3 linked regions of the Ovis aries genome follow. The main gene of each other region encodes a partner of the protein of the gene in region 2 in a complex. Links are inferred from orthologs where the notes say so. Each region holds a gene or a part of one and is shown on either strand. Other genes may lie near its edges. The genes, in order: DCAF1, SAMHD1 and CCNA2.

Region 1 (10,494 bases), on a different chromosome or scaffold from region 2:
TAAGATTACTATCTTCAAGGCAAGTCTGGCTTCCCTGGTGGCTCAGAGGTTAAAGCATCTGCCTGTAATGCGGGACAATGGCATAGTCCTCTGACCACTTAAGAGGAAGAAAAAGTTGTGAATGAAGGAGGAAAAAAAACTTTATCCACAAAAATGACAAAAACCCCCTCCAGTCAGAAGCTTCCTCTCTTCAGTGCTGCTAAAGGGCAGCCCCATCAAGCAGGACCCCACTCCTCACAAAGAGAAGCCACCAAAGAACCTCACCAAGTTCACCAGACGGCGGAGACCATCATAGCGGTCAAAGAGTTCCAGCACAGCCCGGAAGGAGAAGCAGATTGAGAAAAACATGGTAGCATGGCAGCAGCCTGAGGCATGCGAACATTCCATCAGCCACAGGGTGTAGTTCACCACGTCAGAGAGAACATTGTGGGGGTGCATGCAAACCTGTAAAGGGTAAAAATAAAACAGCTTTTTAAAACGTGGGGGAAAGGAACTTTCAGAAGGTATAAAAAATTCACCAGTGTACGTAGGTATCTGCAAAATACAATAATCATTCCTGAGTAAGCCATCTTGATTTAAAGCTGTCAATAAAATTTTATGACAATCTATTCCAAGGCTGAAAACAATCTAAATTTAGAGACATATTTAAATTCCACCTAAGCTTTCGAGTGTCAAACTGCAAATATTTTTATCCTTTAATGCTCACAACGCTCTGTTACACAGGTATTAGTATCACCACTTAATTAATGAAGTAGCTCAGAGATGTAAGGGACTTTCCCAGGCTGATAAAAAGTTGATAAAAGTAACTGAGCCTTCTGATACTGAAGTCTACAAGTTCAGTATCCATTCACTCACTGATTTGTTCACACACATGGCACTGACTCCTGTCAGACAATGAATTCTGAAGCATTACCTAGGTTTGTTTGGCACTTTTAAAAATCTTAACCACAATTAATTCTGTACAAATACACACAGATTAGGTTACTACTCTCAAAAGATTACATATCTTTGCAGAAAGCTAGATCTTAACAAGTAAAAAAATTAAAATCAGAAGATTACTCCATTAATAAATTTGCACAGAAGAATAAAGACACCACCCAAGAGGAATTTACCAACTTCACTCTACCAGAAAAGCTACAATTGCATAAAGTATAGAAGAATGCCCAGATATAGAAACAACAAGGGTTGCTGTGGTGTCTAGGGACCCATTTCTTTTCTAATGTAGAACCCACTTACATTTAAAAAAAAAAAACAAAACAAAAAACCCACGAAATAAAAATCTTAACTGGAAAAACAGAAAAACCAGAGGGGTACGGTACCTCTAGAGCCCTAGGAACAACTGGAATGATTTTACTCTCTACCACAAACTATCCTGTTAACATACAGAAAGCATCATCTGTTGTTTTTATAACTGACTGACTCGAAAATGCAAAATGTAACTCTACTGAGGGACACCTGAGAAGAGCCTGAAAACAGAATGCTCAGTAAAGATCAGACATTGATGTTACTTGCTCCTTTCATTAAAGCCTGATCCAACGGTTTAGTTTTCTTACCCAAAAGCTTTTCTGTAAATGTATGAGAGTAGTCCTCACCCTACACCATTCCCATACAGCTGAACGGACTGGACTTACTCTTTCCATGGCATCCTGGTTGTAGGACAGGTAATACAAGCACATGGATACGCCAGTTGCAGCCATAGAAGGACGAGGAATTTCCAGCAATTTCTGTACTCCACCGTGCGCAACAAATTCCGTGGCAAACTTATTGTGGAGCAGGAGAGACGCTAGGTGCTACACAAAGAGGATACATATTACCATGGAACAATCTAGTACAAATATCTCTTCACAGAATATTAAGTTGCTAAATACAACGACTCCTTAGAAGCAGACAACCACCCCCTCAAAACATAAGTAAAACCAATACTGCTTCAGGGAAACAAAATAAGCAAACAAAAACTGTAGAATTCCGTAACATTCCCTTCTAATACCAAAGGTTTTCATGACGGTGAAAAGCAAGAAATGAAGAATACTACTGTACATTATGACACACTCCTATAATTGTTTTACTATTACATATCTTCCCTAATGGATTTTTGTCACCCTTTCCATTTTAATCCTTTTAAACATAATCAGCTCTATGTTTTAGCTTTGGCCCAGTCACTGATTCACCCAAAACTCTGCTTTCTTTTAAACTGATGCTTGCTTATATCCTCAAAACCAATCTTCAAAAAACTAGTACATTTCTGGTACTAATCAGAATGCACTTTAAATAGAATTTATAATAATACATTTCATTAAGTCTATATTAGGCAAGTTTTTGTTGTCTTTTAAGTTTTGTTACCTTGCTATCCGATTCTTACTAGCCTCTCTGGGTGGACCTGAACTTCTGGGCAATTTAAAGGCAGGCAGTGCAATGCAAGCAGCAGGCTGCTCAATGACTTTGAATCCAGGCCAACATGGATGCAGCCTCATGAGAACTAGAGCTCCCCCTCCTGTTTCTCATACCAAAGTGTCTTCTGGGTCATGAGACAGGCAGCAGGTACAGACAAAATGATACAGATTTGTAACTGATACTTGTACAAATTTCACCAAGGTCAACAGGTGTGTACCCTCTTCAGACATTCTCTCAATACACAGACTCGGACTAATCCTTATATATAATTCAAATCCCTTCCCTGTTTACTTTTCTTGTCTGATACACAAACCTCTACCACCAAGCCTTTCCCTAAGAAACAGCTAAACCATGTGTGGTTCCCTCCCCAATACTCAGGCCACTGCACGTGCTTTTTTCTCAAAACCAGCACCATAAAGAGGCAGTTCCACTGCCAGAATCAGCAGCAGGGAAAACAGAGAACAAACGGGCTCAATCTTTACCAAGAACCTTAATTCTAGTTAGCCCATACGTGGCTCACCTCACTCTTGTGGGCAAAGACTCTATTTTCACTCCTTATACTGTACCTCCGTATAAGGTCTAGTTCTTAATTTACTATTTTAACCCATTTTGTTTCTACTAACTTCAACACTTACCCCTTCTCCTGCATAGCTGAGTCTTCCTTTTGAACAAAACCGTACGTATAACTTTCTACACTTTTTATTTCCCCATAAGAAAGATCTCTTATCTGGTTTTACCCTGTTCATCCTTATTCCATTTTCTCTAACCCCTTACATGATTCTGCATAGAAACAGGTGAATAATGACACCCATTATAGGTTCTCATACAAAGACCTATAGAAATAGCAACTACCCAAAGCCCTTCTTCCACTATTTCCTTTTCAAGACAGGACGCTGCATCTGAAAGCAACACCTTGGGCCACTGGAGACAACTCTGACCCTTCAGCTTCATCCCACTGTTCAAAGTAAAATCATGAGTTTGCACGCTTTATACACACATACACACACACACTGCATTCCACACACAGGGATACATGTTACTTCAATTTATGTCTGACCTCCTCCAAACTTAAAATTTCTGGGGTCTGCAAGTCAAATTTCATCATTTGTATTTAATTCCAATACACTTTGGAACTGTGCTGGCCAACACAGTAGTCATTGGCTACATGTGGCTAATTTCGTTAAAATTAAGTTAAAAACTCAGGGGCTCAGTGGCACTAGCTACACTTTACATGCTAATTTGTGGCAAGTAGCAGCTGTACTGAAAAGCACAAAGAACATTTCCGTCATCATGGAAAGTTTTATTGGACAGTGTAGCTCTGGAATATCTATCAGGAATGAAATTATATCTTTAAAGAATAAGAACATCATCTCTTTTTCAGAGGTTTTGATTAGAAGCTACTATTTCTCAAAGAGAACAGACCATTCCTTCCTTTGTGCCCCAATACTTCTGTCACAACATCTATAATATTCAAAAAAAATCACAGGCTTACATGCCTGGCTCTCTCAACCACATGATAAACAGCAGAGACATAACTTATCTGTCTAATACTATAAACATCACAGAACAATACTGTGTCCATTAGTTACCTGTTAGGTAGAACTGTAATAGCCACAATGTTATTCATTCAACTTAACCTCTCTCCCTTCAGATTACCTTAATTATCATGAAGAGGTATGGATTTAGTGGGCTAGACATACCTGCCTGCCTATATTTAGCCCTTTTGCAACCTAGAAATTTCTTTACTTTCACTGAATTTGGGTATATCTTTATTTCTTTATTCATTTTCTGATTTATACTCTAGATAACCTAACATCATACAATATGTATACAGTTAGTAACTTGGTAAGCCTCAACTCTTCTATTTACACAAGAAATTTTCATTTGTTGCTACTCACACATCTGGTAATAGAAACATTCTAAACAATAAAATCCAGAGATGTTATATACCAAAACACATAGACAATCCACATTAATTAAATGCTCAGGAACTAATATTTTAAAGAACTTTACCTTGAGTGCCTCAAATGTAAGCAGGACATCATTAGTTTGTTTTAAGTCAATGTAGAACATCATCAACTCCCGTGACCCAAGCTGCATGAATATGGGGAGTAACTGAAATGAACACCAAAAACATGTCTTAACATTTGGATTTATTTTCACATATTTCCTGACAGAAGACTAAAGAAACCCTTCCTCCCTCCTTTATAAAGATAAGCATATAAGCACATTTTGTTCAAAAAGACCTTATCAGGAGTGACTTCCATAAGACTTTACCAGTTTGACGCAGACTTTTCTGTATTAGAATGAAAACACATCAATGTATAATATGCCATCACAAAATACCCCAGAAATAAACACAGTAGTCTTAAAGAGTGAACACTACTTTTCCCAGTAAGCTTACCTCCTGATATTCTCCTAAAGGGGTCAAATACTGGAGAATAAGTCGCTGCTCAATAGCAGGAGTCATAGGATAAAGGGTATAATTGGTGCCAATCACCCAGGGGGACATTTCTGACCAGCTGCTGTTGGACAATTCAACAAACATGCGGTCTGGATCGGATGATGAAAAACCCAACTTTTGCTTGGCTTTCCTGAAGCTCTCTCTGTCAGCCTGTTTTGTTGACTTGTTTTTCCTCAATGCCCCTTCTTCAAGTTTGGTTGCTGAGTTCACTCTGCTACTGGTCTTGTGGCCTGACTCAAGATGAAAGGAGATCTCCATGTCTCCAGAAGCTTCCTCTTGTTCACCATCCACTACATCCACAGCCATGTCGCCATAGTCCATATCCACAGCTTCTTCATCCAGAGGCAAAAGGGGTTCAGAGGAGAGCTTTCGTGGGCTAGGACGCTTGCTTTCTTGCCTTGAATTTACCTCCTGAAGCTGTAGCTCCCTCAATCTTCGAAGCACTATTGCCACCTATCAACAGATATTGGAATAAAACAGATTTATCTCTTCTGTATCTTAAGAGTCAAGTAATTCTTACTTCCATTTAAGGATACTCAGGCAGTTATCTCAATGACTGGTAAGAGTACAGATCTGACAAGTATGTTGACTTGATTTCCTACAGCTTGATGAAATAAATAATGGCTAAAAGTCTCATTCCCCATAAAATTTCCAAGAATCTAAACCAGAAGATTTGCAGATAAAACCTAATTCACAGCACATCTGTCCAGATCATGCTGGACCGGACCATCACATTTGAAGGGGCAGACACTAGGTATATTCACAATTTTTTACAAGTGTCTTTGAAAAGCAAACATGAAGGTTTTATAAACTTTTATCTGTATTCTGTTAAATACTGTCATCCACATTACACATAATTATATAAGCTATTTTTCAAGTTCACCACTTATGTTTTCCTTTAGGTATTCATTTTTTGGTCTGATCCAAAACTTTAGTATTATGCTTAGTTTAAAAAAAAAAAAAAAAGTGATCAGGCCTGCAACTTACTTCAAACTGCATTTAAAAAAAACAAACAATGATGACTAGACGAGAAGAGGGGTGAATGGATGGATGAGTATGTCATAAATAAAAATACAGTAAATGTTCACAATCAATGTAAGTGGTCTATATACAGGTGTTTGCTGTAAAATTGTATTTTGCTATATGTTTGAAATTTTTCATAATCCAAATGTGGGAAAGGAAGAGGAAATGGTACTGTTTATCTGGTACAAACTATCATGATCTTTGACAAAATGAAAAACTGCTATCTTCAAGTTAAAAAAAAAGGTACAGTCAAAACTCTTACATAAGGTAAGAATTGAAATATTGATATTATAGCTATACTTTAGTACAATGAATAAGAATAAGATCTACTGACTCAACTTCAGGTAGCAAGAAAGAATGAGTGAATATACTATCTTACATGAAAAAGTCACTCTGACACAGCCCTTACCAGCTGTGAGTTCTCATCCCTGTAGTTGGCAGCGATGTCTTGATTCTCCATAGCACCTCCTAACAGACCAGTAGAGTATGTCCTCAGCGGCTGATCAGCTTCTCGGGCCCATTTGAAAAGGTTCTCAACAATTCCTTCCTTTAGTAAAGGGAATGAAAGAGTACAAATCAGGTGGGTCAAGATTTCATAATTCAAGATATAAGCAATGACTTCAGTTGATAAAAAAAAGTTTTTAATAAAATATTTCAATATTGTTCATAAGATTACAATATCTAAGCAAACTAAATGTACTACAGTAGGTGGTTTAAAATAACTGTGCATCTGTGAAACAGTCCTATTTATCCACGAAAACGCAAGCTAAAGATCAACTATCACATAATGCAGCTATTAAGTCCCAAAAGGTTCCATAACCAAGCAGGGGGTGCTAAAAGTTCTACACGCCTCTTTAAAGTTCACGATGCACAATTAACAGTAGCAATGTCTAAGGAGTCCTCCATCAAACAAGTGTTTAACTCCACATATCCCACTCTTAGTGTTTATTATGAAATAAAATACATAAACATGTATAGTCCAAAGAAAATGAAAATCACCTCTGTGATTTACCCATGAGTTTAAGAAACAGAAACTTCCCATGTGCCCCTCCCTACCACCTACCTCCTTCCTCTCCAAAGGGTATCTACCTTCCTAAATTTTAATAATTTTCTTGCAGAGCTTTTGTTAAATGTTATAGGCTTTGAACTGTATACATTGTGTGTGTCATACGTACTTTTCTGCAACTTGTTTTACTCAACTTCAAGTTTTTACATTCATCTATACTGTTATGTGTAATTGTCACAAACAGTACCCAACATAAGACAGGCTTTACATACAATTTACTTTATCCTTGTATCAGCTTTGTATGATGGACAAAGTACTATATCTACGGAAGAGAACACTGTCACAATGAGGTTAAGTAACTTACCAAAAGTCACAAAACTAGTAAGTAGCAGAGCTGGGGTCTTATTCCAGGCAGCGTACCTCCAAATGCTCTGCACCACCATGTTCTGCTGCTATTTTGTTCGCTTAACTTTTACCTTTGTGTGCAAATACGTCCCTAGAGTAGACACCTAGGAACAGAACTACTAAGTCACAGGTGTGTATGTTCAACTTTACTAGAGGCAGCCAAACTATTTTTCAAAGTAATCACAACAATTCACATTTCCAACATTGAATAGTCCATTTTTAAATACATCTTTACTAAAAGTTGACCACCATCAGACTTTTTATTTTTTTGTAATACAGTGGGTATGAAAATTTAATGATTCATTTAACTTGAATTTTCTCATTTACCAATGAGGTTTAGCATTTTTTCATGCCTTGTGATCATTCATACTTCCATCTTCTGTGAAATACTCACGTCTTTTACCAGTGTTTCATGATAAGCACAAACTCTTAATTTTATGTAATCATATATAATAATATTTCCTTTTAAACTTTGTGCACTTTATCTCTTAAATTCTTCCCTAAGGTCATGCTGTCATTCTCCTATATATTTCCAAACTTTAAACTTTCTTCAAAAAAGTTATTAACACTGAACAATACACTTTGAGAAATTTTGTTTTAAAATACTTACTGATGTGAAAACAAACATATCATCTACTTTAAGTGTCTTTCATTCTTCTTTCTGAACAGCATAAAAAACTTTAAATACTAATTCTAACCTATTCCCTACCATCTACATGTTACCCAGAATATGTTCCCTCTTCTGTTCCCCAAAAATTGTAGCCAATATTTCTTGGTTTACAAAGTTCTCTGAAGGCATTTTCTACTGTGGCCTCTACTGATGCTGTGGCAAAACTTGCTATTAATTTGCAGGAATCTTTTTTACTCTAGTTGCTTTTAAAATCTTTTGTCTTTGGTATTCTTCTTTGGGCTTTCTGAATCTGAGTGGTCATGTCTTTCATTTATTAAGATCCTAGCCTCATCTCTCTGAATACGGGCTTTCTATTCCTATTCCGTGCGTGCGTGCGTGCGTGAGAGAGAGAGAGAAAGAGAATCTGAGTGGTCACGTCTTTCATTTGTTTGTAAGATCCTAGCCTCGTCTCTGAATGCGGCCTTTCTATTCTCTTGTGTATATGTGTATGTGACCTTTGCACCCTCACCGCACAGCATGTGGGATCATAGTTTCCCAACCAGAGATAAACCCATACTCCCTGCAGCCGGGGCGGGGACTGTTACCCACTGGACCACCAGGGACGTTCCTTCCATTCTTTTTCTGAAACTCCTGTTAGACACGTTCAAAATTTTCTAATTCTAGTCTCCATATCTCAACTTTAATTCTATCAGTAGTTATGTGGAGACTTTGGTCTACGTCTATTAAATTTAAAAATTCAAAAACTGTAATTTTTATTCCCAGTAGTTCCTTGGTTCATTTTCCAGTCTTAGAATTCTGATTTTCTTTTTTACATTCAATAATTTTTAACTATTTTAACCATTTTAAGTGTGCAATTCAGTGGGATTAAGTACATTCACAATGCTGTATAACCATTATCACTATATTTCTAGAATTTCACTGTCCCAAACAGAAACTCTTTATCCCAGTTTTCAATAATAGATAGAACTGAACAGAAAACCAACAAGGAAACAGAGGAGCTGAACAACACTGAAAATCAATTCAATCTAAAAATATATAGAGAATACTCTATCCAACAAGAGCAGAATACACATTTTTCTCAAGTACAGGTGGAACATCTCCCAGAATAGACCATATGTTAGGCCACAAAACACATCTTAATAATTGTAAAAGGGCTGACCTCTTACAGCCCTTACAAATTCTTGAAAGAATTTTTTTCAATCACAATGGAATGAAATGCAAAATCAATAACCCAAGAGAAAACTGGAAAATCCATCTGCAGAAATTAACAGTCATAATCAACCAATGGGTCAAATTAGAAATCACAGTGAAATTAGTACCTTGAGAAGAATGGAAACAAAAACACAACACATCAAAACTGATGGGATGCTGCCAAAGCAGTGCAAAGAGCAAAATTTATAGCTACAAGTACATAAAAAGAAAAAAAAAGGTCACAAATTAATAACCTACTTATATACTTCAAGAATGATGGCTCAGACGGTAAAGCGTCTGCCTGCAATGCGGGAGACCCGGGTTCGATTCCTGGGTCGGGAAGATCCCCTGGAGCAGGAAATGGCAACCCACTCCAGTGCTCTTGCCTGGAAAATCCCATGGATGGGAGGAGCCTGATAGGCTACAGTCCATGGGGTCGCAAAGAGTTGGACACAATTGAGCGACTTCACTTTTACTTTCACACTTCAAGAAACAAGAAAGAGCAAAGAAAACCCAAACATAACAGATATATAAAAATAATAATAAAGTTTAAAGTGGAGATAGATAAAATATCAAATAGAGAAATACAGAAAATTAATGAAACCAAAAGTTGTTTTTTGAAAGGATCAAAAAGAAATTGACACGGGGCTTCCCTGGTGGTACAGTATTAAGAATTCACCTTGCAAAACAAGGGACACAGGTTCAATCCCTGGTGTGAGATCCCACATGCAGAAAAGTAATGAAGCCCGTGCACCACGACTACGGAAGCACGTGAGCCCTAGAGCCCATGCTGTGCAAGAGAAGCCACCACAAGGCGAAGCCTGGGTACTGCAGTAAAGAGTAGCCCCAACTGGCCGCCGCTAGAGAAAGCCCAAGAGCAGCAACAAAGACCCAGCACAGCCAAAAATAAATAAGTAAATAATTTTTTTTTTAATTGACAAAGCTTGAGGTAGACTGACCTCAAGAAAAAAGAAGACAAATTACTAGAATCAAAAATAAAAGGGAAGACAGTATTACCAATTTTACAGAAACAGAAAGGACTATAAGGGAACTCACTGGCAGACCAGTGGTTAGGACTGTGCTTTCATGTTTGAGGGTACAGGTTAGGTCCCAGCTCAGGGAACTGAGGTTCTGCAAGCCATGTGATACACAGTCGAAAATATAGGGGAGGGAGGATTTCAGGAGAACACTATAAACAAAAAACTCAGTAACAGGTTAAATGGACAAACTTCTAGTAACACAACCTACAAAAACTGACTAATGAAGAAACAGAAAAACTGAACAAACCTGTAACCATTAAGGAGGGTTAATCTGTCATTAAACCCACCCCAAATAGGAAAACCCAGGACCAGATGGTTTACCTGGTAAATTCTACCAAACATT
Region 2 (10,594 bases):
TCCCTTATCCCATAGACCCCTGAGGGAAAGTATAGAGAGGTGACCTTGCCCTCCTCTGCACGGAAGGACAGAAGAACCAGGGCCCAAAAAACATATCTTTAAACCCCAGAATATTTTGAGTAAAGAATGTTTTTCAAGACTTGTGAAACCAAAACCACAAGGGCAAGGAAGTCAAAGAGACACGTAACATATATATGTGAAAGATATATATTTAAACTTGAACATGGCTGTTTGAAAATTTATGTTTATAAGACTTGTGGGAAAACCTGCCCTGACAGCAAGGTTTCTTGGACAGTAGAAGGTGATATAAGCAGGGTTTTAAGTTTAATCAGTTGGGTTTGTTCAAAGCAGTTGCTTTTGAGAAATTAATTTTCTATTTGTTTTTGCTTGTTAAAGAGTTGTTTTTGCTTGTTAAAGAGTATGATTTATGCCATAGCTATTATGTTTCCCCTAATCTACTTCATAGGGCCCCTAAATCTTACACAAAGTTGGTTGGTTTCTTGTGGAAGGTCACATGGCTGGTAAGTGACAGACTCAAGATTCAGAACTGACTCCAAAACTTGGATGGTTTCTAGTTTGCTGCTTTACTTCCACTTGGTCCTGGTGATTCTGTTTCATCCAGTCATTCCACAACCTGGAAACAAATGCCTACTAGACACAGGCCCTCTGCTCTGGTCATATTGAGAGAAATGAATATTCACGAGCTCCTCTGATGTCAATCTCACCATAGTTAGAACTAGAAAAAAACAACTCAAAGTTCAATTAATTTAAGGCCCCTTGTTTAATGACCTTGAATACCCTCAGCAAGTCCTCCCTGCTCTTCCAAGCTAGCTTCCACCCACCCAGCTGAATTGGGCAATTTTATTCCTGGCACCATTAACTTTGTGGTTTTACATCTCTCCACAACTTCCTCTTCAACCAGCACTGCTAGTTCTCAGTGCCATCTAGCACCACTCCCTGGTTCTCTCATTGAACCTAACCTCCTCAAGGACCTTGTCTGTTCCATCTGCCAAATTCCCAAAGCAAGCCAAAATTCTTTTTTTTTTTTTAAATATATAGATTTCTTTGTCTGATAAAAATAATGTTCAAGAAAGAAAACTTGGAAAACAAAATGTGTATATACACACATACAGATCCAAAGATACAGATCCTGCTACATACAGATCCTGGTGCATGCCCCATAAGTCTTTTTCTTTTTTCTTTTTTCATAAGTCTTTTTTGGTTCATTGATGCAGAAACTTATCTGCATGTTTGTCAGGGAATTCTTTGTTAAAAAAAAAAAAAGAGTGAACTGGCAAAATGATAATAGCTAACATATTTGATCCCATCACTTCATGGGAAACAGATGGGGAAACAGTGGAAACAGTGTCAGACTTTATTTTTGGGGGCTCCAAAATCACTGCAGATGGTGATTGCAGCCATGAAATTAAAAGACACTTACTCCTTGGAAGGAAAGTTATGACCAATCTAGATAGCATATTCAAAAGCAGAGACATTACTTTGCCAACAAAGGTCCGACTAGTCAAGGCTATGGTTTTTCCAGTGGTCATGTATGGATGTGAGAGTTGGGCTATGAAGAAGGCTGAGCGCCGAAGAATTGATGCTTTTGAACTGTGGTATTGAAGAAGATTCTTGAGAGTCCCTTGGACTGTAAGGAGATCCAACCAGTCCATCCTAAAGATCAGTCCTGGGTGTTCATTGGAAGGACTGAGGCTGAAACTCCAATACTTTGGCCACCTCATGCAAAGAGTTGACTCATTGGAAAAGACCCTGATGCTGGGAGGGATTGGGGGCAGGAGGAGAAGGGGATGACAGAGGATGAGATGGCTGGATGGCATCACCGACTTGATGCACATGAGTTTGAGAGAACTCCGGGAGCTGATGATGGACAGGGAGGCCTGGCATGCTGCAATTCATGGGGTCGCAAAGAGTCAGACACAACAGAGAGACTGAACTGAACTGAACTGAACATATTTGAGTACCTACTATGAATCAGATAGTCTATTTGTGCTTTACTTTATATACATAATTTCCAATCCTTATAACAATGTCATTAGATAGGTATTATACTAGCTGGTCCTCTTTGGTTATAAATACATTCATTCATTCATTCCATCAATATTAATATATACTGGGTACGTACTAATTTGTTTGGCACCTGGGACACAACAATGAACCAAAGAAACAAAAACCCCTGCCCCAGTGAAACATATTCTAGCTGGGGGAGACTGGCAATGAATAATAGTCTAATTAACAAGAATAAAGTTAGAAGATGGTACTTTGGAACAAAGTTTTTAAAGAGGAGTAGAGGAGGAGGATAGAGTCACAGTTTTGAGTAGCGGGGAAACTTTTGAGAACATGAAATTTCTTCCTCAACCATGCAGGTATCTGGAGGAAAAGCATTCCAGACAAAGAGAACACCAAGTGCAAAGGCTTTTGAAGCAGGAGCATGCTGGGTGTTAAGAAATAGCAAAGAGACCAGTGTGGATGGGCAAAGTGAGCAAAGGGGAAGTACTAAGAGATTAAGTCAAGGAGGGTGCAAATCATGTGGAAACATGAGGGCTACCAGCTGCAAGTTGCTTTAAGGTCCCATCTTTATGGCTTCATATCTAGAAATAAAAGAAAGCCTCTGCTCCTCCAGTTTAAATGTAAGGGAATGACTTCAACAAGTCTGGATTGCTTTCATTCCTGGACCAGTTGTGTTATGAAATGATTGACCTAATCAGGATATATGTTACCCCTTGGGTTAGAGGGCAAGGTCTAGTATCAGGAAGAAGAGACTTATTTCTGGACAAAGATTCCTGGTGTTATTTAAGAAATTTGGAAATGAAGCCCAGGGAGGTGAAATGACTTGCCAAAGGCCACACCCTTGTGTTAAGTGCTTTGGGATTTGAACCTAGATCAGCCAGGTGATGCTAGTGGTAAAAAACCTGCCTGCCAGTGCAGCAGACGTGAGACAAAGATTTGATCCCTGGGTTGGGAAGATCCCCTGGAGAAGGGCGTGGCAACCCACTCCAGTACTCTTGCCTGGAGAATCCCGTGGACCGAGGAGCCTGGCAGGCTACAGTTCATAGGTTCGCAGAGTCAGACATGACTGAAGCAACTTAGCACACACGCACAGCCTTGAAAACCACTGTTCTGTTCCGTAACTTGAGCTGGGTATAAGTTCTATTGCTTTTAGGCAGTCACAGGGAGTGGCCAACTCTTCCTATAGAGTTTCACTTATGGTGACTTCCTAGGAGTGCCTCAGTGTATGGGGTGGAGTGACCATGTATTTGGGAGTTAGGATGCTCAAACATTTGAGGGAGTGGCCAGACTTCAGTGGGTTGCTCCTGAGTAAACATAGTTCATGAATCCTTTTAAACTTACTGCTTACAGCCAGTCTCCACTTGTATTTCAACTTATATTCAACTTTGTACTCAGTCGTCTCCTCAGTGGTCTTGTGTCTTTAGGGGTAAATCCTCTCAGTTCCAAACCTCCCAGTACAGTCAAGGTTCTGAGCCTTTATTTGGGGGTCCTCTGCGGCTGGCTTTCTCTGGAAAGGGAATGGTTCATCTTGGTCAGTACTCGGTTGTGGGGAATTAGGTTTCTAAAGGCACTGCCATTGTTCAGAACTCCAGATCAATTAATGTTTAAAACTTATGGGCCTTCCTCTTGTAAATTTCTTTTGCGTTGGACTAAAATCACGTGCAATGATTTGAAACTCTGTTGGTCTACTTTTGGCTTGTTCAGAATTTCAAAATTAGTTTATTTGTGTGCTCAACTGGAGAAAAACTATAGTACAAAACAAACAGAATGTGAAGCGTATTTCAATTCATATTTTGAGGCCTCCAATCATAATTAATGTATCTGCTACTATTGCTTCCCCCTGAGAAACTAACTCACAATTATGTCAAAAGATTTCCAAGCTAGAAAAATCCTCTGAGGCTTCTGAGAACTCTCTTTTTCCAAATCTTTTTTTTCTGTCCCTCTGAGTATCTGTCATAAAGCTCTCCTCATTGCTATCCATCTCTTTCTGAACTTCCTTATTTTTTTGTAACACTGAACTTGATCCCCTGCAGAAGACTATCCATACTGCCCATCCGGTAATGGCAGCCCATTTTATTTTTTTTTTATTTATTTTTTTTTTATAGAGACAAGATTTATTTATACCATAAATATTTCAACAAATTCCACTTTCTACGATGAGTTCAATCTTCACAAAAGTAGGATGAACAGCACCTGTTTCCACTAGGATCCATAGAGCGTGAAAATCTTAATGATGACCACCAGAAAGGTCAGCACGGTTGATATCACAGATTTTTCAGTGTTCCAATACAAGTTCTACCCAAATCCATAAAGAAAGACATACGCATAGGAAACTACAAATTGAAAGCAAGTCTATTGAGATAAATATTGGACTTCAATTGTATGAATCTTTAAGGCATAACTGCAGACATTCTTCAGACATTCTTCAAATTCATAGAATGACAACAAAGTATGGCTACGTACAATCCATTCGGTTTTATAAACCACTCATGAATAACCTCACAAGCCATTTGAAACCAGATGACAATTTCAAATAGCTTTGATCTACAAACAAGGCTGTAAGACAGAAAGTTAAAATCGAAATACATGAAGTAAATCCTCAATAGATATGAAAACATCCCATGGTAGTGAAGTCAATTAGCATTAGTTATTAGGGCTTTCATGCACAGACTCATCTCTGATCGATGTGATCCCAATTCATATTTGGCAAAAAATACGAAAGCTGATCTTAACAGTCATATTATTTTTCTTTGTACCCCTGAAAAGAAAAATGAACATGAAAAACTAAATTAAGCTTGGAGGCTCACATTTCCCAATCGGTATACAAAGCAACAGCATGTCAAACTTTCTAATTCACATATGCATTTAAATGAAATTGGATGAAATACCCCTAAATAAACACATACTTCTATGCCCAATGTTTCACAAGGCAGAAAACGCTCAATGAATGAAACTGAGAGGGTAACAGCCAGGAAGGCCAGAGGTCTCCAAAGGGAGGAAATGGGGTGCAAGTGTCAGACAGTTGTTATCTGTCACTTCCGAGGCAGGAGGAAACAAGCTGTTATCTTTTTTCCCCTTCTTGATACAAATTTAAAAAGAGATTTTTCTCTTACAATTCTGTGTTGCTATGATGACACCTGGTTCCGCCTGAACTTCACTTTTCTCATACTTTGAGCTGACCAAGGCATTTTTCTCATGGAAAGGTTTGCCTTAAGCTATGTGAATGTACTATGTATTTACCCTAGACTCTATCTTCAAGTAGGTTCTGCCTAAAGGCTCAGAACTGACTTGACAAACCAATATGCTTTACTCATACATGGCTCTCCTGATCTATGTGAATGAAGCTATCCATTTGCTCATATCAATCGTTTTATGGCCCAGGATGACTCACCTGGTGCCACGGTCATCTCCATATATCTTGTGGGTGAGGGGTCTGCTGCCATTCCTTTCTCTAATGAGTAGACTGCTAGTAGCTAGATAACATCCAGCCAAAGATGAGTAGGGGGGCACTCTTTCTGCCCCCTTCTGATGTCTATGTCAGAAGCTTTCTCTCTTTTATACTTTAATAAAACGTTGGGACACAAAAGCTCTGACTGATCAAGCCTCATCACTGGCCCCGGGTTGAATTCTTCCTCTAAGGAGCCCAAGAATTCAAGCATCTTTCATGGTTAGACAACAACCTTTCCAAACAATGGTCTTTTCAAAAAAAAAAAATGATGATAAGTGATGAGTATGCATATGTCTACGAATGAAATGGGACCTATATGTCAAACCACATAAAAATATATCTTCCCTCAACATACATATAACAAAACCAGGCCTTCACATGCATCGATTCTCCAACTATCAAGTCATACAAATATGGATGTAAAATATCACAATACATTCCAAAGTTTAAAAGTGATGGATATTGACTTTCGCCCGCTGGTGCTTCTTTTTATGTCATCTCCATTATATTAGCTATGACAACGAATCATGTGCTGTGCGAAGTCACTTACATTGTGTCCAACTCCTTGGGATCATATGGACTAGGCCCCACCAGGCTCCTCTCTCCATGAGATTCTCTAGGCAAAGATACTGGAGGGGGTTGCCATGCTCTCCCTCAGGAGATCTTCCTGCCCCAGGGATGGAATCCATACCTCCCATGTCTCCTGCATGGGTATGTTCTGCATGTTCTTTACCACTAGAACCACCTGGGAAGCCCCAAGACACATGAACATCAGTGGATTTGGGGATCCACGGGGCATATACAGAACCATTCCTCCAACAAAACTGAAGAATGACTTTAAAATCTCAAACAAAACATGAGTATATGTGTTCACAAACTTCATGGAGCAAGGGTTTCTTCGATCTGAAAACTGGCATCGATGAAGGACTGTGTGAAGAATACTTCAAAGTCTATTTGGCAAACACAGCCTACGTTGGCTATATTTAGTCCTCAGTTGAATGGAATGTCATGAGTACTGGTCATTTCAAATAAGTAGCCTATGACGCTGTTTACACTTATTGGGACGCGTGGTATACCACATTCACACATTTCAGTAGCATTGGTGCAAAAACGATACATTTCTCAGGGGAAGCTTCTACATGGACTCCTGGGATCAGAGCTCTAACTCATACACACATACTTTCCCTTTTAAAATGATCCTGCATGATAAGCAAACAAAACACTGGATGAACACCTAGACGGTGAGCTCTGTACTAAATGATTTTAAAGCCAGTAGATGGAATGAGCTGATGAGGAAGACTACAAACGAGTCATCTTCTTCAACTTGGTCAAACTGCTCATAGTCATACAAGTGAATGAAAAGTTGAGCCTGTTGTCATTAAATCCAGATGAAGTTCAAGGGAAGCTGCAATGCTCACTGCCCGTGAAGGAGTCCACGTGGAATGAAGAAGTAGTGTGGGAAGTCTATTAGTAACCACCATGTCTTGGGTCCTCTGGATGACCTACGATGCAGGGAACACGGGTTCAATTCCTGTGTAGGAGATTCCACACGCCCAGGGGCAACGAAGCCCTTGAACAGCTCTTGAAGTTTGCATGCTCCAGAGCCCAAGTTCTGTGGCCCACAGCCCTGCGCTCTGCTCGCTGGATGCCAATCGACGGGGACCCAGGAGCCCACGAAACGAGCATTCCCAGCTGCAATGGCGAGCCCTGAGAGCCCTGGCCCCCGACGCGCCGCCATGTTCATCCCGCCCTGGCAGCCCATTTTAAAGCCAGGTCCAATGAGGATGGCACCACACCATTACATATATCCTCTGGACTAAGGCATGTAAATCTACCCTTCAAGCACTATTAATTGGACATGCTCTTTAGCATGCCATTTAGCATGTCCAGTTAATAGTGACATGACAAAGCTAACCAACAATGTTGCCTGGGCAAAACATAATTTTTTTTTTTTTTTACATCTCAGTTAGAAATCTCCCTAATACAAAGAAACAAACTGAGGATAAAGTAGTTGGATGGGTGGATCAGCCTATGGTGTTATTTACAGTAAGTTATACCTTATGAATCTTTGTGAAAGTGGAAATGTAGTTCTAGAGGCAGTTCATATTTCACCCGTTCCTTTTCATCATTCCCCACATCTCTCATGTTTATCTCAAAGGCTTGTAACCTCTCTGGGAACTCTTATCTAGACCACCTCCCTCCAATTCCTAAAATTGAAAAAAAACAAAAAAAGGAGGGGGAAGGGAGAGAAGAAGACTTTTAAATATACAGCTGCTGGAGTTCCCTGGTGGCGCAGTGGATAAGAATCAGCCTGCCAATGCAGGACACGGATTTGATAACTGACCTGGGAAGATTCCACGTGTCTCAGAGCAAGTAAGCCTGTGTGCCACAACTACTGAGCCCACGTGCTACACCTAGTGAAGCCCGCATGCCTTAGAACCCATACCCTGCAACAAAAGAAAGCACTGCAATGACAAGCCCATGCACCACAATGAAGAGTAGCTTCTGCTCGCTGCAGCTAGAGAAAACCTGAAAGCAGCAAGAAGGCAGGCCCAGGAACCAAAAATAAAGTGAATAAATAAATTGTTAAAGATAAATAAATAAAAATACAAGCTGCCATAGAAGTACCTTTGCCCAGAAATCCAGTTTAAGAAAAGTTTTAAAACAAAAACTATAAGGTCTCTGTTTGCATCTGTCTGTATGTTCATGTGTGTGTGTTAGTCCCTCAGTCGTGTCTGACTCTTTCCGACCCTGTGGACTGTAGCCCACCAGGCTCCTCTGTCCATGGACTGCCCAGGCAAAGATACTGGAGTGCCTTGCCATTTCCTTTACCAGGGGATCTTCCCGACCCAGGGATTGAACCTGGGTCTCCTGCATTGTAGGCAGATGCTTTACTATATGAGCTATTAGGGAAGACCATGTTTATATGTGTCTATATATAAATATATTGTGAATGAAGTGAAGTGAAGTCGCTTAGTCGTGTCCAACTCTTTGCGACCCCATGGACAGTAGCCAACCAGGCTCCTCTGTCCATGGGATTTTCCAGGCAATAATACTGGAGTGGGTTGCCATTTCCTTCTCCAGGGAATCTTCCCAACCCAGGGATCAAACCTGGGTCTCCTGCATTATAGGCAGACGCTTTACTGTCTGAGCTACCAGGGAAGTCCTACCTTTGGATAGTGCTGCTAAAATGAATCTGTAAAAGAGTTCTATTTCATTGGCTTAACACAAACAAGCACTATATAAATTAAGTCTATTTGCAAAAATGTAATAGAACCTAACCCAAATGTTTTTCAAGTTCACATGATCTAGGGTGAATCTTTAGGAAATAAAAGCTAGTTTAAGTTTGTTGGTTTAATACAGACATTCCTTTAGCATTGCCAACATTAAGTATAACACTTTTTAAGGAGTTTTAAAAAAATAAGTTTATATATTTATTATTTATTTCTGGCTGTGCTAGGTCTTTGTTGCTGTGCACAGTTTTTCTTTAGTTGTGGTGAACACGGGCCCTAGGGCATGTGAGCTTCAGTAGCTGTAGCTCATGGGCTCTGGAGCACTCTGGCTCAGCAGATGTGGTACATAGGCTTAGTTGCCCCTTGAGATGTGGAATCGTCTCAGGCTAGGGATTGAACCCATGTCTCCTGCATTGGCAGGTGGATTTGTAACCCCTGATCACCAGGAAAATCTCAAGTATAATGTTTTATTCTACTTAGGTTTACTAAAAGTCAAATAAGCTCATGTTATCTCTGTTACAAAATTTGTCAGTCATGACTGATGTTATCTAATGTTTGGTGAAGTATTTTAATAGGAGATCTAAACATGTTTGTTAAGAACAAATGAATTAAATGTAAATAAGTTGAGTTTTTAGGCAAACTTTTTAGCAATGATATAGCTGCTTAAAATCCATGGGGTCACAAAGAGTTGGCTACAACTTACGCACTGAACAATAACTTAAAATAGTTTCCCAGGGGGGCTTCCCTGGTGGTCCAGTGGCTAAGACTCTGTGCTCCCAAAGCAGGGGGCCTGGGTTCAATCCCTGGTTAGGGAACCATATCCCACATGCCACAGCTAAAGATCCTGCATACCAGAAAGTAAAGATCCCATGTGCCGCAACTAAGACCCCAGGTAACCAAATAAATATTTTAAATAAATAAAATGGTTTCTCAAATCTCACTGGTAACTTACACCCTTAGAGTTTTACTAAATTAATAAGTTAAATTTTAAGTTAAATTCATTGAATATCTAAGTTATTTCCAAATAATTTCCAAATTAGATATTGAATTAATTACTGAACATAGACTTCTTTTTACAGAGAAACTAAAGTATTTGATGCCAGTCTGAGAAATTTTCTATGAGAAAGCACTTTTCTAGAAATGATAAAAATTATGTATAAGGTTGCCAATATACAGAATGCCAATGTAAAACATAGTTCATAATTGCTATTTAGTTCTTATTCATTTTCAAATTAAAGTTTTCTAAGGATTTTTAAGTGGGGAAGTTAAAAATCTTAAGGATTTTTAAGTTGGTGTTGGAGAAGACTCTTGAGAGTCCCTTGGACTGCAAGGAGATCCAACCAGTCCATCCTAAAGGAAATCAGTCCTGAATATTCATTGGAAGAACAGATGCTGAAGCTGAAGCTCCAATAATTTATCCACCTGATGTGAAGAACTGACTCATTGGAAAAGACCCTAATACTGGGAAAGATTGAAGGAAGGCAGGAGGAGAAGGAGATGATAGAGGATGAGATGGTTGGATGGCATCACCGACTCAAAGGATATGAGTTTGAGCAAGGTCTGGGAGTTGGTGATGGACAGGGAGGCCTAGCATGCTGAGGTCCATGGGGTCACAGAGTCAGACACAAATAAACAATTGAACTGAAGGATTTTTAAAAAATGCTAATATATGTGATTAAAGCTAAATAAAAAGACAAATAAGTAAAAACATCTCCATATATGAGGAAAGTAGGATGTCTATTTTCCGTAAAAGAAAGTTTATGAAGAAGGAATCTTTAGGAAGGACTTTCATGCCTGGTTAAGACTAGAAATGATTGAAATGAATTTAATTAAATGAGTTTTAATATCAAAAGTAAACTGGTACAAAATTGGAATTTGTTTTTCT
Region 3 (10,594 bases), on a different chromosome or scaffold from region 2:
ACTAATGATTCAGGCTGCAGGAGGGAGGAGAAAACCACTGGACTTTGTTTTTGTAACAGACACTAAACACAACTTAGTAGTTGGCATTAAGCTTGAGTTTTGTTAAACTTTAGTACTTAACACCTCCAATGGTGGACAGGGAAGCCTGGCATGCTGCAGGCCACACGGTCACAAGGAGTCGGACACGACTGAGTGACTGAACTGAACATTTTCCACTTTTCTTAAGCGCCTTTTTGCTGACTTCAGTTTTTACAATTTTCCCTGCCAGTGGCAGGCCTTGTTGCCCAGATTCTTTAAGCACATCTTTCAAATGTGCAAAAGTAACTAAGCTTTCTAAGACAGGACGCTTTAAACAGAGTAGATGGTTGGACAACTCTTCCAGTTCAGTACATTTAGACAACCATCAATTGTCTACGACAGTTATCTGGCACAGGCATTTAGAATCAAAAAGTAGACGTGTGAAGATGTAATACATACCCAGCTTTGTCCTGTGACTGTGTAGAGTGCTAAATGAAAGGCCGCTGCAGCGATAACTGATGGCAAATACTTTAGATATGGGTCAGCATCTATCAAACTTAACTCTCCCAAAAACTGGAATGAAAAAGTAAATAACTATGATCATAAGAGCTCTGGAATTCAAACCTCAAATCCGCCTTTTCTGACCTAATTTTTTCTTGTCTTTTAAGACTGGCTGTATAGCAACCATATAAAAATTTTCAGTCACATCTTTAAATATATCCACTACTGCATTGTTTTGCTTCATTCTCATCCTGTATTTTTCCCCTAGCCTTTAGAACAACCCTTCTGGCTACCACTTACGTTCCATTCTCATATCCCCAATGCTTTCCCAATTTACATTATCCTTTGCGAGTGATGGGCTTGCTCTCATGTGCTGCAGCACTCATCTGTCCCAGAATAGTATATTCCTGACCAAGACTGTATAATGAAACTAGAGCTTGCCCCAGTTGTGACCTTAGAATCTTCATTCAACAGAATGAAAGGAACTTACCATTGCTAAACTTTCAACTTTGCAGTTTGCAGGCTGCTGATGCAGAAAGTACTGGGTAAGAAACTGATTTATTGTTGGTGCAGCTAAGTCAAAAGCTAAGACTTTCAAGACTAGGTGCTCCATCCTCAGAACTTGTTTCTTGGTATATGTATCATCTGTAATGTATACAAACTCTGCTACTTCTGGTGGGTATATTTCTTCAAACTTTCTACAATGCAAAGAAGTAATTAGTCCTTAGAAAAGCAAGCTTGTTTATCCCAACTTGAAATCCCTTAAGCAGAATCAATGGAATGAATCTGAAACCAGTTCCCTGTTTCCACTGATACTTGACCATTTTTAGCTGAAATTGGTTAAATGCTAATTAAAAGCCCCCATATATGTCTTCCACTGAAGTCCAAGGAAATGAGAGACTGACTTCCCAAGATGGGAGCAAGGTCAGCAAGTAACTGAAAATGTGGGAAATTTCCTTAGAAAAAGAAATGCTTTATATTTTAGTTTTCATATCTTAATGGGGAAAAGGTAAGATTTTGCTTATTTAACAGAAGGTACTTTTCTGTGGAAGGAACCATACTTTGTAACTTGGTCCTAGTGTATTAAAATCTTGCCAGTCTGTAGGTTCAAGTGCCCTGAAAGACTGATCTAGGCAAATTAATGTCCTAAATTGATAGTTTCATCTACACTACCACCCCTCACGTAGTTGTGAGTCCTGCTTTGTGTTATATGTTAAAACATCACACTTGCCAAATATATGTATTTTAAATCACAATTTCTTCCCTACACAGAAAAATACTAATCACTTTTAACCCAATGAACCAAGTTGGACTTACGAGGCTAAAAGCATAGCAGCAGTGCCCACAAGTTGAAGTTTTCCTCTCAACACAGACATGGATGAAAGAAACCTATCAATGTAGTTCACAGCCAAATGCAGGGTCTCGTTCTGCAGTTTATATTCTTCTCCTACTTCAACTAACCAGTCCACGAGGATAGCCCTCATACTGTTGGTAATGTCTGGCTGTTTCTTCATGTAACCCACTTTAGGCTTACATTTAACCTGTTGAGTGTTAAAATTACAGTTAGATATTCTATCATTAACAGATACCAGCTACATGCTAGAAACTTAAATATAGTATTAGAGTAATCAACTGGCAGTTAAAAAATGTAAAAACATCATCTTAATTTCATTTCCCCACAGTAAATAAACAGCAGTATAAAGAGTAGATTCAGGCAGCAGTTACCTCCATTTCCCTAAGGTATGTGTGAATGTCCTCATGGTAGTCTGGTACTTCATTAACACTCACTGGCTTTTCATCTTCCAGTACAACTGACATTTCCATAGTATGTGGAGACTCTGGGACAATTCAAAAATACAGTTAAGTTCACTTAAGAGCTAAAAATGATGGTCCTTGTAAGGAGTCCCATACTACCAATGAGCTTATTTCATCCAACTAAAAGAGCTTTTTATGACAAAATACATAAGAGATTTAACTCTCATCTTAGTACCTCTGTCTACTTAGTTTTGGAATGATCTTAATTAAAATATCGTTAGACCATTAATGGGAAAATGAATTTGAGGAGCAGGTTATTAAGTTAAACCATCATTCATCTTGCATGATAGGAAGACAGTGGTTCTGTTAGAACAAGGTTAAAATCCAAACTCTGAGATAATATCTAGGATTTGTCATAAGAGTTTGCAGACCCCAAAGTCTAACATTTGCAAAGCATAATCCAGGCAACAATTAGAAGCAGGACTAACAAGTGTGCTAAAGAGGAAATCAGATTTGTCATGGGCAGTTGAAACATATTAACGGTACAATCAATGGGTGATTGGTAAAATTCATCTTTGGAGGCAATGAATGTCATCCATTATTATTTCAGCTCAAAGTTTACTTTGAGGTTAAAATTTGCTGTGAATTTTAAATAATACACAAATTACTGTTATTTCCAAAGCACTTCTCTGCTATACCCCTCGTTTATACAACTAAAACTGATATTGAATTCAGTGAGCTGTCCAGTGAACCCACAGTCTGATGGTAAAGTAGCACAAACTGTAGACAGAGCTGTCCATAGCAGTTACTCTGACTCACAGGAAGACAACTGTCTTTCTGATATCAGACAATCACTCAGACGGGTTTTACAGAAACAAATTTTAGAGCTGGACGGGATGTCGGCTATCTCAATATTTAAAGCTACATCCTCAGATGGCGTTCTCTGAAATGGTGTGAACAAAGTTAGTCTTAACTGAAATATATTCTCCCAACTAAGCAAATATTTTGAGGGTCAATTAAGTCTTTGGGATCTAATGAAATTGATGTGATTAGCAGTGTACCAACCCAACTCCAGTGTTCTTGCCTGGAGAATCCCAGGGACAGAGGAGCATGGTGGGCTGCCGCCTATGGGGTCGCACAGTCGGACATGACTGAAGCGACTTAGCAGCAGCAGCAGTGTACCAGAAGGAGCACGGGATTAGAATCTTTTTGGAGGTCACCAGGTCACAGATTAGCTGTGAGGCCTGAGATAAGTCACACCCTTTCTAAACTTGTTATGCCTAACTCATAATGTAGTAAGGCTCAAGTAAAATGTCTTAGAAGGAAAATATTAATCCGACCTATTTAACAATTACTTTTATTCAAGTTTTCTTTAAAACTTACCAAAACTACCATCCATTGGGTAATCAAGAGGTGCCAGTGGCTTTCTTGGTCCTGGTAAAGTAACAGCTGAATGAAAACCCAAGACATCTTCACTTTCTGATTTTTTAGATTCAGTTGGCCTCTTTTGAATCTCTTTTTCTGCTTCATCCACATGAATGGTAAATGCAGGCTGTTTACTGTTTGCTTTCCAGGGAGGAACAGTGACATGCTCATCATTTACAGGAAGATCCTTAAGAGGTGCAACCTACAATGAAATAATTAAATGCTTTGAGCCTATTAAGTGGAATTTTACTTTCATCCCCTTATACTGCTGAGTATAGTCCCAAACCCTCTTATCAGGAAAATTAAAACTTTTGGGGGCAAAGTTCAGGCAAGGAAATTTGAGTAGCTGGAGAAAGAAGAGATGCTTCAATTTGTCATAGGCATTCCTGTGACACCAAAGATTTCGGTCACACCAAATGGAATTATGCAAAACTAGGCCAGAGATGGCTGGAGTGGCAGGCCGAAAGATGCCAAATTTAACAGAGATGGCAAAAAACAAGTGGTTTTCCTTTTTCACCCTAGGGTGGAGCAACAGAGCAAATTCAGTAAGATGGCGGAATTGACCAATAGCAAAGCACTTTTCATACCTTCGCCCAAAGTAAAGGTAGTTTCTTTACCCATCCATATGGGGAAGACGAAGGTCGGAATAGTGCCTGGGTTTTAGAGCAGAAAGGCGTGGAGGCGGGCAAAGACCATACTCAACGTTGTGGGGCCTGGTTTGATCCCATTATCTATGGAAAAATACTCCCAATGGAAAGCTGAGAGGCAGCATGAAAGCACAGCGCTGTCAGGAACAGTATGGAAGAGTAACTAATGGGAGTAATGTGGCGTCCTACACTCTAGAAACCCAGGGATCAAGGAACTCCAGATCCTAGCCTCCCGCGAAAAGCCCAGGGAATGCTTTCTCGCCACTCTCCTCTGCCGGCTAAACCCGTGCAAAACCCCCGCTCGGCCCTCCCTCCTGAGGATATCGTTCATTGCTTTACCCGTCGCGTCTTAGGCCTCTGGGGCGCTGGACCCCGCGAGTTCCCGGCCCTCAGTACCGCCAGCCCAGCCCGGGTCCGGGGCTGCTGGGCGGGCGCCGACTTCTCGGGGTTGACGTTCTCCTGGTCCTCCTGGAACGCCGACTGCTGCAATGTTAGCGCCGAACCCGCCTCGCGGGCCGCAGGCCCGTGCGCGGAGCTGCCCAACATCTCTGCTCCCGGGGGCGCGGCGGGATCAGCCCGGCGCCAAGCAGCGTGCACTGAGTCCCGCACACCAGCCGAGGAACACTCCAGCCGTACCCGCCCGCCGCAGCCCGAGCCAGCCTGCCCGTCTGCTCGGAACCGTGCAGGACCGAGGAGACTGAGAAAGGCGGAGGCAAGAACTGCCGGGCGTGGAGGGACAAGGACGCCCCCGAAATGAAGCGAGCAGCCCGCCGGAGCTGCGGCTGTTCCCGCAGTTCAAGTATCCCGCGACTATTGAAATGGACCAATGAAAGGTGCCGGTCCCTGTGACGTCACTCGGGGCGACGCGGTCGCAGGCGAATGAAGGCGGCTGCGAAGGCACCCGAGCAGGGGCGGAGCGGGACGAAGAAACAGAGAACGGCGGCAGAAGGAAGGACGCCTGCGCCGGGCGGGGAGGCGGGGCCTAGGCTTATGGTGGCTTTAAATACCGCCGCTAAGCAGTTCCTGTCTTAGGCTAGGGGCGGCCGCTAGTACAAAGTGAGTTACACTTTAGCGATTATTAGTGGGCCGTACATAGAGTCTGACGGGTTAGTCCATGGGGTCACAGAGTCAAACATCACTTAAAGACCACACCATCACCACCCGGCCTTTAGCCACAGGACCTCCAGTTAGCTTGACTGAAGTTTCTCAAGGTCTAAAATCGGATCCGGCCATACTGGCCTGGTGGTCTTGTTCAAGTTACTCAATGTTCTGATTCTCAGTTTTCCTATCTGTTAACTGGGGTGATTATATCTACACGTTATAAGTTATCATTAGTATTAAATAACGTGCATAAATCATTTCATACGCTGCTTATGTAATTGATACTCAAGTGGATGACTATAGTGTCATCTTACCATTTTCGTGCTTATTCACAGTCTTATACTTTTTATTTTTCTTCATGAAGATGCAATTAAACTGCCACCTTGAATTACTGTTGATATACGTAACAAACTAATATACAAGAAATTCAACTAGTCAGCCATTAACCTTGGCTGTATGGCAGCCAACAAAAAGCACGGAGTGAAATTCCAGTGACCTAGATATAATTGTGTTCCATTTAGAAATGAAGGTTGTTTAAATATAGTAAAAAAAAAAAATATGACCTTATTAAAATAAAACTGATAGAAATACGTGCCTTTAGCAAATTTTCACATTTAATATATAACAAGGCTTGCACATAACTAATAAATATAATGGTATATAATTGAGCATTGTTGTTTCCCAACAAATTAATAAGTGTGCCCTTCTTGAAAACACAGAGAATAGTTTATTTTCTATTATAATCCTTATGCCACTTTAAAAAGCACAATCTTAAGTATAATATTCACCTGAATATGAATAAATATGAATTAAGATTGACAGTTATATTTCCCTCCATATATGATAAAAAAGGAAAATTAGTATTTATTAGTGCAGGAAAATCTAAGAAGCCATCACTATTTCTGTACTATTCATATGTAGTACATTTGTATGGCCCTACTGGTTACAGCACATCAAGTTAAAATCCCCCCAATCTGTGCAAGGTCTGATTTCCCTGGCCACAGTTTAAAGCAATGAGCCAACCCAAGTATTTAACAAACTGAGTATGAGTCACAAAACATTACCAAGCAACAGCAAAATCAGTTGTAAGTCAATCTCAATTCCTAGAAAAAAAAACATTATCGGTTATTTCACCTAGTTGACAACACACATAGTAACCAAAACATAATTGAGGCACCAGAACTTGGGTCCCACATTTATGAAATAACAGCATGTCCTCTTAAACACAATCTCACTGAGAATCAGTTGTCTTACATGATTTGACAAAATAATCAACATACTGTGAAGATCACTTGAGGTCACATATGTACATACATTTTGAAAACTGTAAAGCAGTTTATACATATGTGTTGGCTTGTTAAAAATTTAAATGTGTCTATTTTCCAAATAATATTTTTTGATTTGAAAGTTAAAACAGCCTCTTGAGAAAAAAATTCATTAAAATCTGTTATAATCATTTCATTTAAAAAAAAATAAAAATTATCTTTACTTTAAAAAAATTACATTTGTAAAAAAATAAAATAAAAGTGCCACAAAAAACAAGTCATACTTCATTTATTTTAGACAGTATTAAAAAGCACTTGAAATAGAAGTATGTACAGTTAGCTTGTAATTCTATTTTAACAATTTTCATTTAAACAGACAACTTCTTTGGAACTTTACCTTGTTTATATTTCATGCAGCATCAAAGAAAGCAATCAGTGCATTTTGGTCATAACTGTCCAGAATTTCCAGTAAAAGAGGCACTTTGGTTTTTACATTGGTGCCTTTAAACTTGAACTTATCTATGAAAAGATCGGTGATCATGCCTACAAAGAAAAAAGGATAATTTTCTGTCATTGATTAATTTGATTAACCACACATTATTTAATGAAAGTGATTGCTTGAGAATTTCTTAGCATCTGTAATTTCTATTGTTTAACATATACACCTGAAAGGATTGGTACATTAAAAAATATGTATTTGGGGGGGATTTTATGGCAAATTTCAAAATAAAAATCATTTGGCTAATAACTCTCTTAACAACTGGTTACAAGCTATTAGTTCAGACAATCAACTGCTGGCCAGTTTTGAATTCCTATCGGTATATATAAAATTACAAGTGGTTTTCTTTTCTTTCCCCATCAGCTTGACCATTTTGACATAGTGTAGACAGATTTTGTTCCTTACAGCTTTATTTGAAGTAACATTCTTAGGATTTGACTTGAAGGCAGATACTTCTAGATTCAAAGATCCTAACATATGTACAGTAGAAATAATTCAAGCTGTCATATCCTTTATCTAAAGCCTCTAAGTCATGTTTCATAGTTTTTCATATTTTAGTAAGATAATAAAAGGAATATACCATATGTATGGCATAATACTCATGGAAAGTAAGTGGCAGCATCTGACAACAAAACATTTCTACAACAAAATGTATGAATATTCACACTAAGTGGAATTTAAAAAAAACCTCATAGCAGTTTATGTGAGGTACTGTTATTAATTCAGATCAAGTTAAATTTATTGCCAAATGATTTATCAAAAAAAAAAAAAGCTTTTGATTTCAAAGCTTTCTGGACTGCAAAACTGGTGATAAGAGATGGCAATTCTGTACCACCCATCTTTTAGGTTATTATGAAGATAACGATATGCTTGCCACATGGTAAATATTAAGATATCAGATATTATTGTTATAGCTCGTGAGCAAGTCTTTGGGCATAAAATAAATTATTAGGAAGATCTTAAGGATCACTATGGACAGATGATACCAACTGACTCCATATAAGACTTGGCACAGTGCAAAAAGCATCCATCTTGGGGCAAGGAGGTCCTAATGAAGGCTTTGCCACTAGCTACTTATGTGGCAAATTCTTAAGTTCAGATTTCAGTTTTAAAAAATATGAAAAACAGAGACAGCACCATCTATTGTGTAGCACTGTTGTAAGGATTAAATATCCCACCTGATTATAAAGATGCATAAATAAATAGGTATACTATGCATACAGGTCTTCTGTAAAGATTGAAAAAAAAATTTCCTTAAGCTGTTCTTTCTTCCTCTCTCTCTGCCTCCTCACATCTCCCTCTTGCTCTTGCTTTTACAATATATTGTGAAACACTCAACTTCTTGCCACCAAAGCAAAATGAATTTTAGACTATAAATTGACACAACACATATATAACCCTTCTTCAATTTTGCATAAAGACATTAAATGCTGTATTTTGATACTTCAAAATAGCAATGAAAACTGAAAATTATTTGTATGTAATACAGCCTAAATTATAATGTTTCATAAGGTTTCTTCATATATAAATTAATCGCATTATATTTACTTCATTTGTTACTGTTTACTTGCATATTATCAAGTAAAAATATTAAACATTAAAACCAACTCGACAAAATACACTGTGCAATACACTGGCTGTTACTATTTCAGTCATGACTGCTGTAACCTTTGCCTATCTCCTTCCGCCTACCTTCCCTCATGTGATCCTTTGCAAACAGCCAATAGAAAAGAATATGACAAGGTATGGTAGAATAGTCCACTAACCATAGAGTCTTTCAAGATGTGCAGGTTGCTTTTTGTATTCTTCCTGTAGGTGATCTGCCTCTTCTAGAATAGAGCGATATTCTGGTATCAGAAAGTTTGTGTTTCCCTCATGAACCTGCAATTCCTTATTTAAAATAAAAAATAAAAGCACCTTAATTTCAAAATCCAATCCAGTATCAAGTGGACTTTCTCTTTACCACTTTGGAAATCTGATCACAATAAAAATAATAATCATGAATCCATGGTAGACATACTTACTTTTAAAGCATCAATTAACTGTACTTTCTTAGCCAAAAGCAACTGGTACTCCAGCTTTGGGTGGATTAACTTTAATGTGTGTTTGACTGATACTTCATTTATCTCTAGAAGAAGTTGAGGCAGGCACAATTAGATAAGTCACTTTGATCAGGAACATTCTTATTGTAACAACAACCCCCTCAAAACAGAAAGAATGATTCTTTTTATGCTTTTCTTTTACCATAAGATATGTTGAGGTTAATTTTCCTTTTTGTAGCTTCTTTAGAGAGCACATCTTTTAGGATGGATATAGTAGAAATGTTGTCAGATTTAAAGACTCCTTCGCCTTTTCTATAAAATTAATATTTTTAAAGAAACAGTTTTAGAAGGAAGTACATCAAATAAATATGTCCCGTAAACACATATTTTGTGACTAGAACCTTGTGTTTAGACTTCATTTAATTTCAAATTTCTTTATATACACATCCCACTATTAATGTACAGCATATTTAAACATGTAACCTACTACTGTTGTAGTAATTCAAGTTCTAAACATACTTGCAAAACTGAGTAAAAGATGTTAGACATCTGCCTCCTAAGGATATGACAATTTAAGTCCTTCATTTAAAACTTTTTTATTCATTTTCACTAATAAAATTTCTCATAGCTAATACCTTATATATATAAAATACATTTAGAACTGCTTACTTTCATATTAGTTCTTATGTAACACATAGATTAACAGCATGACTCCATGCTTCATCCTTAAATATCAAACCTAAGAGTAACATCTATAATCACAGGACCCTTTTCTTTAGGGAACGCCTTTGTCCTCTCTCTCTCTCTCTCTCCCCTCCTTCTCAATCCTTATAGTTTCATTGGCCTCAACCCTATATCTGGGACTTCAGGAAGAAGCTTTCACCAGTGTGCTTCATGACCACAGTGGTTCATGTTTTAACGATGATAGTCAATCGTGGGGCTTTTATTGGAACTAGTGGCAGAGTGAGGCTATGGCGCCTGAAAAGACATAAAGCTGGATGGAGCTGTTGGCGGCCCCCATGGCACCACATAGGAAAACCAAGGGCAGACAGAATCAGAGATGAGCAATGAAAAGTGATGAAGTCTTGGGATGGAGAGGGTTAAAGGGATCCGTTAAGCTTCTGATCCAGTTGTGTCTGAAGCAGACTACTCAGTTATACAAGCTGATAAATTCCTTTTATTTAGTTAAGCCTGCTTACATTTGGTTCCCTTTTATGATGACCAAAATTTTCCTAATTAATATATACTATCTTTACATATTTAATGTGGCCTTTTTATTTGGTTTCATATTGCCTAGCTGTAGACAAATGCTAATTCTTTTTTTCTAGAAAGATTAATAAT

Evidence for each region.
Region 1: the proteins of SAMHD1 (region 2) and DCAF1 are in contact, whole or in part, in a crystal structure (PDB 4CC9), measured with the Homo sapiens proteins. The link is inferred for Ovis aries from reciprocal best matches to the Homo sapiens genes SAMHD1 and DCAF1. Residues at the interface, in NP_056289.2 of Homo sapiens: Ser616, Arg617, Val618, Gln619, Lys622; in NP_001336097.1 of Homo sapiens: Asn1090, Glu1091, Asp1092, Thr1114, Gln1116, Asn1132.
Region 3: the proteins of SAMHD1 (region 2) and CCNA2 are in contact, whole or in part, in a cryo-EM structure (PDB 9HIW), measured with the Homo sapiens proteins. The link is inferred for Ovis aries from reciprocal best matches to the Homo sapiens genes SAMHD1 and CCNA2. Residues at the interface, in NP_056289.2 of Homo sapiens: Lys615, Ser616, Arg617, Val618, Gln619, Leu620, Phe621, Lys622; in NP_001228.2 of Homo sapiens: Met210, Ile213, Leu214, Trp217, Glu220, Val221, Glu224, Arg250, Leu253, Gln254, Tyr280, Ile281, Thr282, Asp283, Asp284, Thr285.

The regions. Positions count from the first base shown.
Region 1 is NC_056072.1:49,384,891-49,395,384, reverse strand, and holds part of DCAF1 (DDB1- and CUL4-associated factor 1), read right to left. Parts: intron 6,426-10,494; coding exon 6,288-6,425; intron 5,309-6,287; coding exon 4,796-5,308; intron 4,507-4,795; coding exon 4,405-4,506; intron 1,791-4,404; coding exon 1,632-1,790; intron 445-1,631; coding exon 265-444; intron 1-264. UniProt on the Homo sapiens protein: Acts both as a substrate recognition component of E3 ubiquitin-protein ligase complexes and as an atypical serine/threonine-protein kinase, playing key roles in various processes such as cell cycle, telomerase regulation and histone modification.
Region 2 is NC_056066.1:65,969,231-65,979,824, forward strand, and holds the start of SAMHD1 (deoxynucleoside triphosphate triphosphohydrolase SAMHD1), read right to left. Parts: upstream 7,224-10,594; 5' UTR 1-7,223.
Region 3 is NC_056059.1:3,747,215-3,757,808, reverse strand, and holds the start of CCNA2 (cyclin-A2), read right to left. Parts: upstream 5,119-10,594; 5' UTR 4,893-5,118; coding exon 4,686-4,892; intron 3,902-4,685; coding exon 3,658-3,901; intron 2,358-3,657; coding exon 2,245-2,357; intron 2,061-2,244; coding exon 1,837-2,060; intron 1,218-1,836; coding exon 1,010-1,217; intron 592-1,009; coding exon 478-591; intron 15-477; coding exon 1-14. Other genes in the region: BBS7 (Bardet-Biedl syndrome 7 protein), read right to left, coding at 7,122-7,255, 8,978-9,101, 9,236-9,339, 9,456-9,565. UniProt on the Homo sapiens protein: Cyclin which controls both the G1/S and the G2/M transition phases of the cell cycle. Functions through the formation of specific serine/threonine protein kinase holoenzyme complexes with the cyclin-dependent protein kinases CDK1 or CDK2.